Macaca fascicularis: one gene and its partners. The protein of the gene in region 3 interacts with the protein of the main gene of each other region in a pairwise test. Links are inferred from orthologs where the notes say so. Each region holds a gene or a part of one and is shown on either strand. Other genes may lie near its edges.

The links.
Region 1: the proteins of PGBD1 (region 3) and ZNF24 interact in binary tests that used the Homo sapiens proteins (3 or more experiments, as listed by UniProt). The two-hybrid records come from large-scale screens. The link is inferred for Macaca fascicularis from reciprocal best matches to the Homo sapiens genes PGBD1 and ZNF24.
Region 2: the proteins of PGBD1 (region 3) and ZNF496 interact in binary tests that used the Homo sapiens proteins (3 or more experiments, as listed by UniProt). The two-hybrid records come from large-scale screens. The link is inferred for Macaca fascicularis from reciprocal best matches to the Homo sapiens genes PGBD1 and ZNF496.

Annotation. Positions count from the first base shown.
Region 1 is NC_088392.1:54,500,718-54,504,468, reverse strand, and holds the start of ZNF24 (zinc finger protein 24), read right to left. Parts: upstream 2,225-3,751; 5' UTR 2,128-2,224; exon of another isoform or gene 1,523-2,127; intron 236-1,522; exon of another isoform or gene 1-235. UniProt on the Homo sapiens protein: Transcription factor required for myelination of differentiated oligodendrocytes. Required for the conversion of oligodendrocytes from the premyelinating to the myelinating state.
Region 2 is NC_088375.1:1,757,199-1,760,849, reverse strand, and holds part of ZNF496 (zinc finger protein 496), read right to left. Parts: intron 3,500-3,651; coding exon 3,316-3,499; intron 1-3,315. UniProt on the Homo sapiens protein: DNA-binding transcription factor that can both act as an activator and a repressor.
Region 3 is NC_088378.1:144,899,784-144,903,534, reverse strand, and holds the start of PGBD1 (piggyBac transposable element-derived protein 1), read left to right. Parts: upstream 1-1,341; 5' UTR 1,342-1,761; intron 1,762-3,598; exon of another isoform or gene 3,599-3,618; 5' UTR 3,619-3,657; coding exon 3,658-3,751.

The DNA of each region.
Region 1 (3,751 bases), on a different chromosome or scaffold from region 3:
GACCGGTCAATGAAGGACCACATAGATGACAGTGCTCTCATAAGATTATAATGGAGCTGAACAATTCAAGATTCACCTAGTGACACTGTAGCTGTTGTAAGGTTAATGCATTATTCACATGTTTGTGGTGATGGTGGTGTAAACAAACCTGTTGTGTTGCCAGTTTAACACATACAGTTATGTATGGTACATAAAACTTGATAACAACAATAAACGACTATGTTACTTGTTTATGTATTTACTATACTTTTCATACTATACATTTTAGAGTGTGCTCCTTCTACTTATTAAAAAAAAAGTTAACTGCAAAATGGCCTCAGGCAGGTCCTTCAGGAGCTATTATAGAAGGCACTGTTATCACAGAGATGACAGCTCCATGCACGTTACTGCTACTGAAAACCTTCCAGTGGGACAAGATAGGGAGGCAGAAGGCAATGATATTGATAATCCAGACCCTGTGTAAGCCTAAGCTAATGCATGTGTTTGTCTTAGTTTTTAACAAAAAAAGTTCCAAAAGGAAAAAAAAATAAAAACTGGCTAGGTGCAGTGGTTCACATCTGTAATCCCAGCACTATAGGAGGCTGAGGCAGGAGGATCACTAAAGACCAGGAGTTCAAGGCTCCACTGAGCTATGATCGCACCACTGCATTCCAGCCTGGGCAACAGAGTGAGACCCTGTCTCTAAAAAATGAATTTAAAAATAGCAAAAAGCTGGGCCTGGCGCAGTGGCTCACACCTGTAATCCCAGCACTTTGGGAGGCTGAGGCGGACGGATCACGAGGTCAAGAGATCGAGACTATCCTGGCCAACATAGTGAAACCCTGTTTCAACCAAAACGAAGGTTTGCTTTATTATTATGTGCTTAAAAAAATTTTACCACTTAAAAAATAAGGTATTTAAGAACTCCTTGGACTTAAAATATATGTGGAAAAAATGTTCACTTGCTGAGTAACAGATCACATAATATTGAAAAGATCATATGTGAAAAACAGATCACATATTTTGAAAAATTATCTTGCACATAATACGTAAATATTCAGTCTTCCACCACACCATACGTACATTTATATTTATAATGATAGGCATTAATCACAGAAAATTCTATTAAGAAAAGGCACTCGCATTAGCACCTTAACTTCTTGCAGTGGTCCAGTGTCTTGTCCTTACACTGGATGACTCACAGTTTCCCCAGTTCTACCTTCAGGGAAACTGTATGCTGTTTCTGGACCTTTATTATTTGCACTATCATGCCCGTGCTGTTGTTTACGACACATACTAGCAATGAGCCATGCAGCCTATGAACAACAACTTAAAAAAACTTATCGTAACCCAAGCAAGATGAAGACTGGAATCAGAAAAGGCCTTATCAGACAAGTAATACATACTGGTTTAATTAAATACCCTGGAGTGTGGTGGCCTTATAAATAAGGTCTAGCCAACATTGATTTGTGCCTATTCCAAGACCCTGCTTATCAACGGTGCAACTATTTCTACATATATTTCTCTTCCTTTCATGCTGTAGAGCATACTGCTTGTGGGAAATGGAGGGAAGGCCAACGGTCCCGACAATGTTTGGTCAGAGCACCTCGTTCCAGGTGATCGCCCACCTTACTGCTGCATAGACCTGCTGTGTACCCCGATCCCGGCCAGTCCTCTAGCCCCTCTTCCCAGCACTCAGGACAGCGGATTTCACATGACCAAAGACCACCCTGTGACAACAGCGTCGGAACCACGGCACTTCCGCCTGCGGCCGGTGGGACTACAAATCCCAACAGCCCCGCGCAAGTCTCGCCCCATACCACCTCCTCCCAACACGACTCCCAGAACCCTCCGCGAGACGCCAGGGCCTCGAAATAGAACAAAACCGGCCGGTGGGGGAGGGGGAAGGTGAGGGTCTCGGAGGACACCGGGGGTTAGAGAGCACTCTGCAGACGCCGAAGACCCAAGCAAGCCTGCCGCCTACCTCTCCCCGCCCCACAACTGCTAGGCGCGGAGAGCGCGGCCTATTCCCCGCGCCTCCCGGGAAGCTGAGGAAGGTCCCGGGAAGGCTTCCCCGCCGACTCCTGCTAAGAGGTCCGCAGACCCTAGCCCGGTGTCCCCCTCCCTCCCATAACGTTCCCCGCACACCGGCGCAAACCTCTGGCTCAGGAACCGCAGCAGCTTCGCTGTCCACGGCAGACGCAGAAACACCGTTCACAAGCCTTTTCCCAGAAGCCCCCGGCACGGGCTGCTTCCGGTCTGCGGGCCTGAGGAGGCGGGGAGAGGTAAAGCCCACGTTGCCATGGAGAAGCTCCCCGGGCGGGGGAGGGGCGGCCCCACGACAATGACCGCATTGAGGCTGCGCTTGGCCTCGCGCCTCGAACAGCCTAGCGTCCTCTGGACCGTTTAAAAGAAAAGTAGAGGACTCTACCATTAAGATAGTCCTTACAGTTTCGCAAGCCCTTTCACGTGCATTATCTTGTGGATCCTCTAAGTAATTCCCTGCAAGAAGGAATAAAAGCGAGTATTTGTGAAAGCTTACTACATTGTGCCAGGCGCTCTCGTCGTGCTTTACATGTCATTTATTTTTTCACAAATAAATGATGTAGGAACTTTCATTATCCCCATTTCACAGCTGAGATAGTTGAGGCACAAATACAGTAAGTAACTTGACAAGAGCTCACAACTCATTTGTGGGTAGCAAGATTTGAAACCAAGACGTGATTCAAATCTTTGGCTCCCACTAGTTATGTCACGGAGCTTTATTCTGACCTATTTGTCAGGAAAACTAGATGAGACAGGTTAAGGGTTTTGGCAACGATGTCACGGTGAATTTGTAGAATGCATGGTCATCTTCAAGCTGGGCATTTTATACCATAAAACAGCTGCTGACGCAATCATTTATTACAAATCAGACCACTTCACTCCCCTATTTAAAGCCCTCCAATTTATGCCATAATAATTTATGACATAAAAACTCCTTATAATGTCTTGTAAGTCCCCCATGGTCTGTTGCCTGCCCGCACCCCCAGACCCTGGCGCCCCCAGTCACCTCAGCTCTTCAGCTCCGTGTGGCCCAAGATCCTCAGCCTCACCGCCAGCCTTTCATGACACATGACCCTTCATGGCACTATTATTAATGGAAGTGATCTCATTTATTTACTTGTTTTTTGTTTTGTTTTGCCTTTAAGTCCCTTAAGGGCAGGGACCTTGACTGTCTTGTTCACCACAGCATCCCAGCCTAGACCCCGGAAGCTGACTGCCTGGTAAATAGAGAACACAATAAATGTTTGTTGAATAAATAAATGAATTGTGGGATGGTTACATCGCTGCCTTTAGTTAGGTCACATGATTGGCATCAGACACCACACAAAGGAGCCCTGTTGTTTAAGGACTGGTCAAAAGTGTAGATCCAACCTAACATAAGCATTTCAAGTTCCTCAGGCTTTGACTTTTTGCCTCATTCGGGAAAATGCCCTCTGCAAAGTGCCGTCAGGCTCTGCTGGGTTCGTGCATGAAGACAGCAAGTAAGCCAGCAGCTGATGGTATACCATTGCTTTTCACTCCGACCAGAGCCTTTCTCACAACCCGTGCTAACACTTCTCTCTTCATTGCAGGAAGCTTCAGAAATCCAGCCTTTTCACTCTGCTACTTGGATACGGCCCCCAAGCAGCTTGGCTGCTCTTCCCAACTTTTCCCTCTTTTCTGATTCATAAAGGCTAGCTGAAGTCATTTTTGTTTTATGAGTTTTTACATCTAATTAGTGTTGGAA
Region 2 (3,651 bases), on a different chromosome or scaffold from region 3:
TACAATATGATAACTATACATTGTGAAATGATTAAGCTAATTAACAAATCTACACCTCATACATTTTTGTGATGAGAACATTTCTTTCTTAGCAATTTTCAAGTATAAGATGCATTATTTTTAATCAACATCACCATGCTGTACCATAGATCTCCAGAATTTATTCATCTTATCTAATGGAAACTTCGACTCTTTGACCAACATCTCCCAGAGGGGATGTTTTATTTTTTAGAGGTGGGTTCTCACTATGTTGCTCAGGCTGGTCTCAAACTCCTGGCCTCAAGCGATGCTTGTGCTTCAGCCCCCAGTAGCTGGAACTATAGGCGTGAGCCACTGTGCCTGGCTAGCAGGTGGTATTTTAGTTCTGCTTCCTCACACCTGCCACCTTCTGGGATATGCAGCTATCCCAGATATATATATGAATATGTAGCCCCACCCTACCTTTGGCCCCGATAAATGAATACATGGACCCTTTCGAGAATCACTTTGGAGAGCTGCAGACCCTACACAGAACCTAGGTTGTGGGGAAGATCTTCAAGATGAGGAACTATACAGCTATGACGGGTAGTGCATTCCAATGATAAATTGTCCTAATAGTTAAGGTTTTCCTGACTGCTAACTCTTGTCACACCTACTTTGCCTATTGATAATTGCTCATGGAAATGGGAGAGCTGGCCCTGTTTTCCTAAACCCCATCTGTGGTTGCTGGCTTATCTCAGAACTTTATCAAGAAGCAACTGCACAGGCTGCTGTAGTTCCTGAAACTCTTCCCCTCCTCCTGCGTGCCTTCCCAGACCCCACTACAAGGCCTCTCACAGCCCCCCACTTCCTGCATAACCCAAGCTACTTGCACGTGCATTATGTGGGTGACTGGCTGCTTCCCTTATGCCTGTTGTTACGGGCTAAGTTATGCTCCTCTCAAATTCCTATGTTGAAGCCCTAATCCTTAGGTACCCCAGAAGGCGACTGTATTTGGAGACAGGGTCTTTAAAGAGGTCATTAAGATAAAATCAGGTCATACGGGTGGGCCCTAATCCAATAGGACTGGTGTACTTACAAGAAGAGGAGATAAAGCACAGACACACACAAAGGAAAGACCATGTAAGAGACCCAGAGAGAGAAGGTGTCTGTTACACTCGCTCTGCAAACTTCTCTTAGTGTAAACATCTTCCTCTTCCTCTCCCTGAAAGAAAACTGCCCGTCACCAAGAGTCCTGGCACAAAGCTTGTTGTCAGCTTTCAGGGCCAGATATTCATAGGTTTTTACGGGTCCCAAGGAGAGCCAGTGGCATAAGAGACTTCCCCTCCCAGCTCCTTTTTTTTTGTTTTGTTTTCTTTTTGTTTTGAGACGGAGTTTCACTGTTTTTACCCAGGCTGGAATGCAATGGCGTAATCTCAGCTCACTGCAATCTCCGCCTCCTAGGTTCAAGTGATTCTCCTGCCTCAGTCTCCCGAAAAGCTGGAATTACAGGCACCCACCACCACACACAGCTAATTTTGTATTTTTAGTAGAGATGGGGTTTCACCATCTTGGCCAGGCTGGTCTCAAACTCTTGACCTCAGGTGATCCGCCCGCCTCAGCCTCCCAAAGTGTTGGGATTACAGGCGTGAGCCACTGCGCTCAGCCCCTAGCTCCTTCTAAATGCCTATCTGCAAACTTCTCTTAGTGTTAACATTAGGCACGTCTAGAGCCAAGGAGAGAGGCTTCAGAAGAACCCAAGGCTGCTAATACTTTGACTTCAGACTTCCAGCCTCCTAAACTGTGAGAGAATATATTTCTGTTACATAAGCCATCCACTCTGTGGTACTTTGTTATGGCAGCAAACAACACACCAGCCTCCTGAACTGTGAGAGAATACATTTCTGTTACATAAGCCACCCACTCTGGTACTTTGTTATGGCAGCAAACGACACACCAATCTTGACTTACGAGCAAGAAAAGGCTGAAGAGTTTGTATGATTTGTACAGGAGTCACTATAGTTTTTCCACACAGAGATATTTAATAGGCATTTTGGTTTTATTACTGAAAAGCTTATCATAAGGCCAACACAACTTCTGCAAATCGTAAGAACGCCCCCTGGCCCCCCAGACACTTTCTTTCCATTGTACCTATACAGCACTGTGGCAAGTCCACCCAGAGTCCTAAGAAAGCCCCCCTGGCCCCCTAGACACTCTCTTTCCACTGTACCTACAGAGCACTGTGGAAAGTCCACCCAGAGGAACCCACGTGCCAGACTTCCTTCAACCCAAGAGTACTGGTTTCCCATGATATGTACTTAAAAGTTTTGGGCGGCCAGGCGCGGTGGCTCACGCCTGTAATCCCAGCACTTTGGGAGGCCGAGGCAGGCAGATCACCTGAGGTCAGGAGTTCGAGACCAGCCTGGCCAACATGGCGAAACCCCGTCTCTACTAAAAATATAAAAATCAGCCAGGCGTGGTGGCAAGCGCCTATAACCCAGCTAATTGGGAGGCTAAGGCGAGAGAACTGCTTGAACCTGGAAGGTGGTGGTTGCAGTGAGCCGAGATTGCGCCACTGCACTCCAGCCTGGGTGACAGAGCGAGACTCCGTCTCAAAAAAAAAAAAAAAAAAAAAAAAAAAGTTTTGGGCATCTCTGGCTTTGTGCTCAGCCTTTTATAGGTTGTATCTCATTTAACCATCCAAAAACCCCAAAAAAGGTAATTGCTATCTCCGTTGGACAGAGGAAGAAACTGAGGCTTTCGGAGTTTAGAAGCATGCCTCATGTCATACCCAGAAGATTCAAATCTAAGTTTATCTGATGACAAAACTACTTTTCTGTAGCAACCATGTACTTCATACACATACTCAAACCATGTCTAGCTGATGTTCTGGTCCCACACACTAGATACCATCCTCTGTTCTCCAAAGTATTTTTATATGTCTTTGCAGAATCACAATGCTCCTGTAAATAGGAATTGTTTAGCCAAAGAAACAGAGGTTCCAAGAGACAAGAGATGGCCATGCTCCATTCATGCAGCAGGCCCTAGCTGTCATCAAACTGACAAATCCTGCAAAGATGCATCCTCAAAGAGATGAGAGGGTACCACCTCAGTGACACCCACTTACAGAAGAGTTAGCTCTGAGAGGATCTAGAACCATGAAGAGAACAAACATCCTGATGAGATTCTCATTTAATTGCTCCAGGAAGGGACTCAGACCCTGATAACAGCTCACAGCCCCTCAGGGAACAGGAGAAAACTGCTGATGCAAAAGCCATCACCTTAAAAACCACCCCAGTGTATAGTGTGTGGTGTGCGCTCCCCCAGATCACCCCTGCTACTCCCCGGGCTGCATACCTGGATCCCCGCTGAGCTGGCTTGGTGCTCTGCTTGGGAGCCCCAGGCACTGTGCCAGGGCTATGGGCTGGGCATCCTGGCTCTTTGCAAGGTCGCTGTGGGGCTCTACCGGCAGCTGCTCCTGCTCCTGGTCCAGAGGGCTGTCCCCATCATCAATCACCACAGGGTCTTCACAGTGCTTGAGCTGCAATCCCAGAGAAAGCTTTTCAGAGCTAGGCAAAGAGGTCCCATCTCTCCCTGGGCCTGGTGACCATCCACTCCACAGCTGCCCACCAAAGGCTCCACTTAGGCCTTGGACTGGGCCGTAAAGGGGCATGACACCATCATGCCCAAATT
Region 3 (3,751 bases):
CAGAGCAAGACTCAATCTCAAAAAAAAGACTTTGTTTCATGTACAGAATTATTTAAACTGTATAAAATTAGCTCTATGTGAGTAAGGTATATATGAAACAAATGAATTTCATGTTTAGACTTGGGCCTCATCCCTAAGATATTTCATAATGTATGTATATATTCCAAAATCTGAAATTGGAAACACTTCTGGCCCCAAGCATTTCAGATAAGGGATACTCAACTTGTTGTTGAAATCGTACAATATGTAGCTTTTCAGATTGGATTCTTTCACTTTCTAGTATGCACTAAAATTTTCTCCATGTCTTTTCATGCCTCGATAGCTCATTTTTTTCATTTTTTTCTTGTTTTCTTTTTCTTTTTTCTTGTTTTCTTATAAACAGATGTTTATAGCAGCTTTATTCATAATTGCCAAAACTCAGTGGGTAAATGAATAAATAATGGGTCTGTTTTTAAAAGAGTGTTTTATATTTTTACTATTGAACATCTTTTCACATGTTAATTTGTCACTTACCTTGTTTTGTGTATAGTAACATTCATATCCTTTACTGATTTTTCTACTAAAGTCTCCTTTTACTCTTAAACAGAAGTGCCCTTAAAAATCAAATAGGGAACTTGCATATCAACATTTTAAATGCATATGTCCTTTGGCTGATCAGTTCTAATATGTGGCATTTATCCTAGAAATACATTCTTAAAAGAATGTAAAGGTATTGAATGATGTTCCCTCTAGCATGGCTTTTAAAGAAAAAATATAACCTAAGTATGCATCAATAGGATAGTTAAGTAAATTATGGAACACCCATACAATATTACTTAGCTGTTAAAGAATAAGCTGATCTGTGAAGATCTCCAAGCTGTCTTAACCGAAAAGAGCTAAGGTGCAAAATTACATTATGATACCATAAGTGTTTTTAAATGTATAAATGCTTATTCACTAAACAAAATGTTTATTACATGCTACTGTGTGACAGGTAGTGTCCTAGATAAATATGCACAAAATACAATGGTTAACTCTAAAGAGTGGGACATTTTTCGTTTTATGGTCCTTCTGCAACTTGACTTTTTTATTGTACGTATATTATGTATACTTAAAATAATTTGTACAGCTTACTATAATGGTCTTTTAATTGATCTGTTTCGCCTCCTAACCAGTGATGACCCCGAAGACAGACATTTACCACTCTGTTGGTTTTTTATTGAAATGATGTACATAAATGTGGGGCGTGCTTGCACCGTCCGGATGGGCCTGAGGTCCGGCAGCGGAGAGCGACCTGGGCGGGGCGGGAGGTGGCAGTGGGGGTCCTCCCGGATCACCAGAGAGACGAGCGGCCGTGCTCCTAGAGAGGCAAGGAACCCGCCAGACTCCGCCACTCGGCTGCGGGCGCGGCGAGTGGAGAAGCTTTTGTGCTGGCCCAGCTGCCGGAGGCGCCGGCGACACCCATCAGCCCCGCCAGCCCGCCAGTAGCACGGCTTGGGCTCTGGGGAAACCGGCGCTCTCGACTGGGCAGCCCCGGGCCTCTGCGCTCCCTCGGGAGCCTTTCACGAGGTCGGCTACGTCTTTGTTGTGCGCGTTCCTGAACTTTTGGTCCATTAACCAACAATTAGACACGCAGGTATTCAGTGCCTGGCGCGGTGCTAGATGCTGGGTGTAATCTCAGAAAAATACATTCTGGGGTGCGCCTGAGGGTGCTGGCTGCTGGCATCTCAGGTGCTTTACGTGCATTCGTGAAGAAGTCCATCAGTATTTGTTGAATACCAGGTACGTGCCGGGCTTGTAGAGTCTATGCAGAGATAAACTCCTGTCCTCAAGAACCCGGGTGGGGATGGGCTGGGTGATCTGTAATACGAGATGGAGGAGATGAAGGTTGGGAGCAGTTTTCCATGGGAACACCCATCTCTATCTGTGTGGCTTACTTTTCCTGTCTATATGTTAGGGTTAGGGGTGGCCAGGGAAGGTTTCACATAGAACATTTGCGCTGGCCCTTGGGATTTTACCCTTAGAAGGGGGGTCCTGACTGTATAGAGTGGGTGGAAAAAAAATTGAGTACTTAGCATGGCAGTGAGATAAGGAATTTGGGAAGACCATGGCTTTCTTGAAAGTAGGAACTAAGTCTTTTATTCCAGAGTTAGCTTTATGCCTGGAAAACAATGAGATGCTCCACAAATGTTTATTGAGTGACAAACAAATCAGCAAAATCCAGTAAAGATTAGATCCTGGAGAGTTTGAGTTTACTTCAACGAGTTTAATGAAAACTTTGTATGTGTTTATGTGTGTGTAAGGTATGTTGAATATGGTCAGAATTGTGCTTTAGGGAATATTAATCCAGTGACCATAGAAGCGGGGAATTGGGCAGGAATACCATAACATTATTGTGACAGTGAATGAAAATGATAGTAAAATAATAAGGAAAGAATGGCTGCAAGAGGCATTTTTAAGAATTGACTTGATTCACTGATTGTATATAGAGGCTGTTTAAAAGACTGAATGCATGGAAGATGATGGTGATGCCAGTAGAAATGGAGAAATACGGAGTGAATGCAGCTTTGAGGAACTCTGATCTTAGTTTGAGATCTGTTGAAATTATAGTGCAGGAGAAGCCCACAGCTGCTGGCATTTCAAGATGTGGGTTTGGAGTGCAAAAAGCAAGCTGGAGCCAAAGATTTGAGTCTTCTTGGGAACAGAGATATATTGAAAGTGTGACTAAGGAGATCACAAAGGAAAAAATGAAGAGAGGGAAGAAAAGAACTTGATGCATTTCTACTGTTTCAGTTATGTGTTGTTGCATCAAAAATCAAACTCTAAACTTAGTGGCTGAAAACAAGCTCAGCTTATTGTTCCTCAGGATTCTGCAGGTTGACTGGGTAGTTCTACTGGTCTCACCTGGAGTTACTAATAGAGCTGCATTCCGCTGGTGAATTATTTGAGCACTAGGCCCGGCTGGGTTTTAGCTTGGTCATTTTGGTTCTCATCCACATGACCTCTGTCTAGCTAGCTTGGGCCTCTCACAGCATGGCAGTCTTATGGCAGTGAACCAAGAGCTACAGCAGCACTCTCTCTCTTACAATGTCATTTCTGCCGTATTCCATTGGTCAAAGCAAGTCATAGGCCAGAACAGATTCAAGGGAAGGAAAAATAGACTCCACCCCTTGATGAGAACAGTGGCAAAATCTCATCACAAAAGGTATTTGAGGATGGGAGACTTTGGAAGCAGTCTATTACACCTACATTTAAAGCGGAATATTCAGTGAGAGTTACACAGATATAGATGACCTTTGAGACTGTATTATTTGCCCATGAAGGCAGCCATCTGCCTCCTCAATGGGTAAAATGATCCCTTCTCCCCAGCTAAAGTGCAAGCTTCTTGAGCATTCTTATTGCTAACGCTTCTTCCCTCATATCCTACATCCCTTACCTCTGGACTCAGACCCTTTAGTACTAGTTCAAAACATACTTCTGATTCATTTCACTGAGAAATAGAAGGAAGCAGGCTCAGCTTTTGAGCACTACCTACAGTGGGTACAAAAATATAAGTAGATTACATACAGTTTTGAAGGTCTTAGAATTTGTGTGTTGCTGATCAATTCTTATGCCTCAGATCTCTATTTCTGAACACAGACCCCCAAGCTAAGTGAAGCTTTAGCCTCTAAACTCAACATGTATGAAGCTTTGCCAGGCCCTGCTCCTGAAAATGAAGATGGCCTTGTGAAAGTGAAGGAGGAAGATCCCACCTGGGAGCAGGTGTGCAACT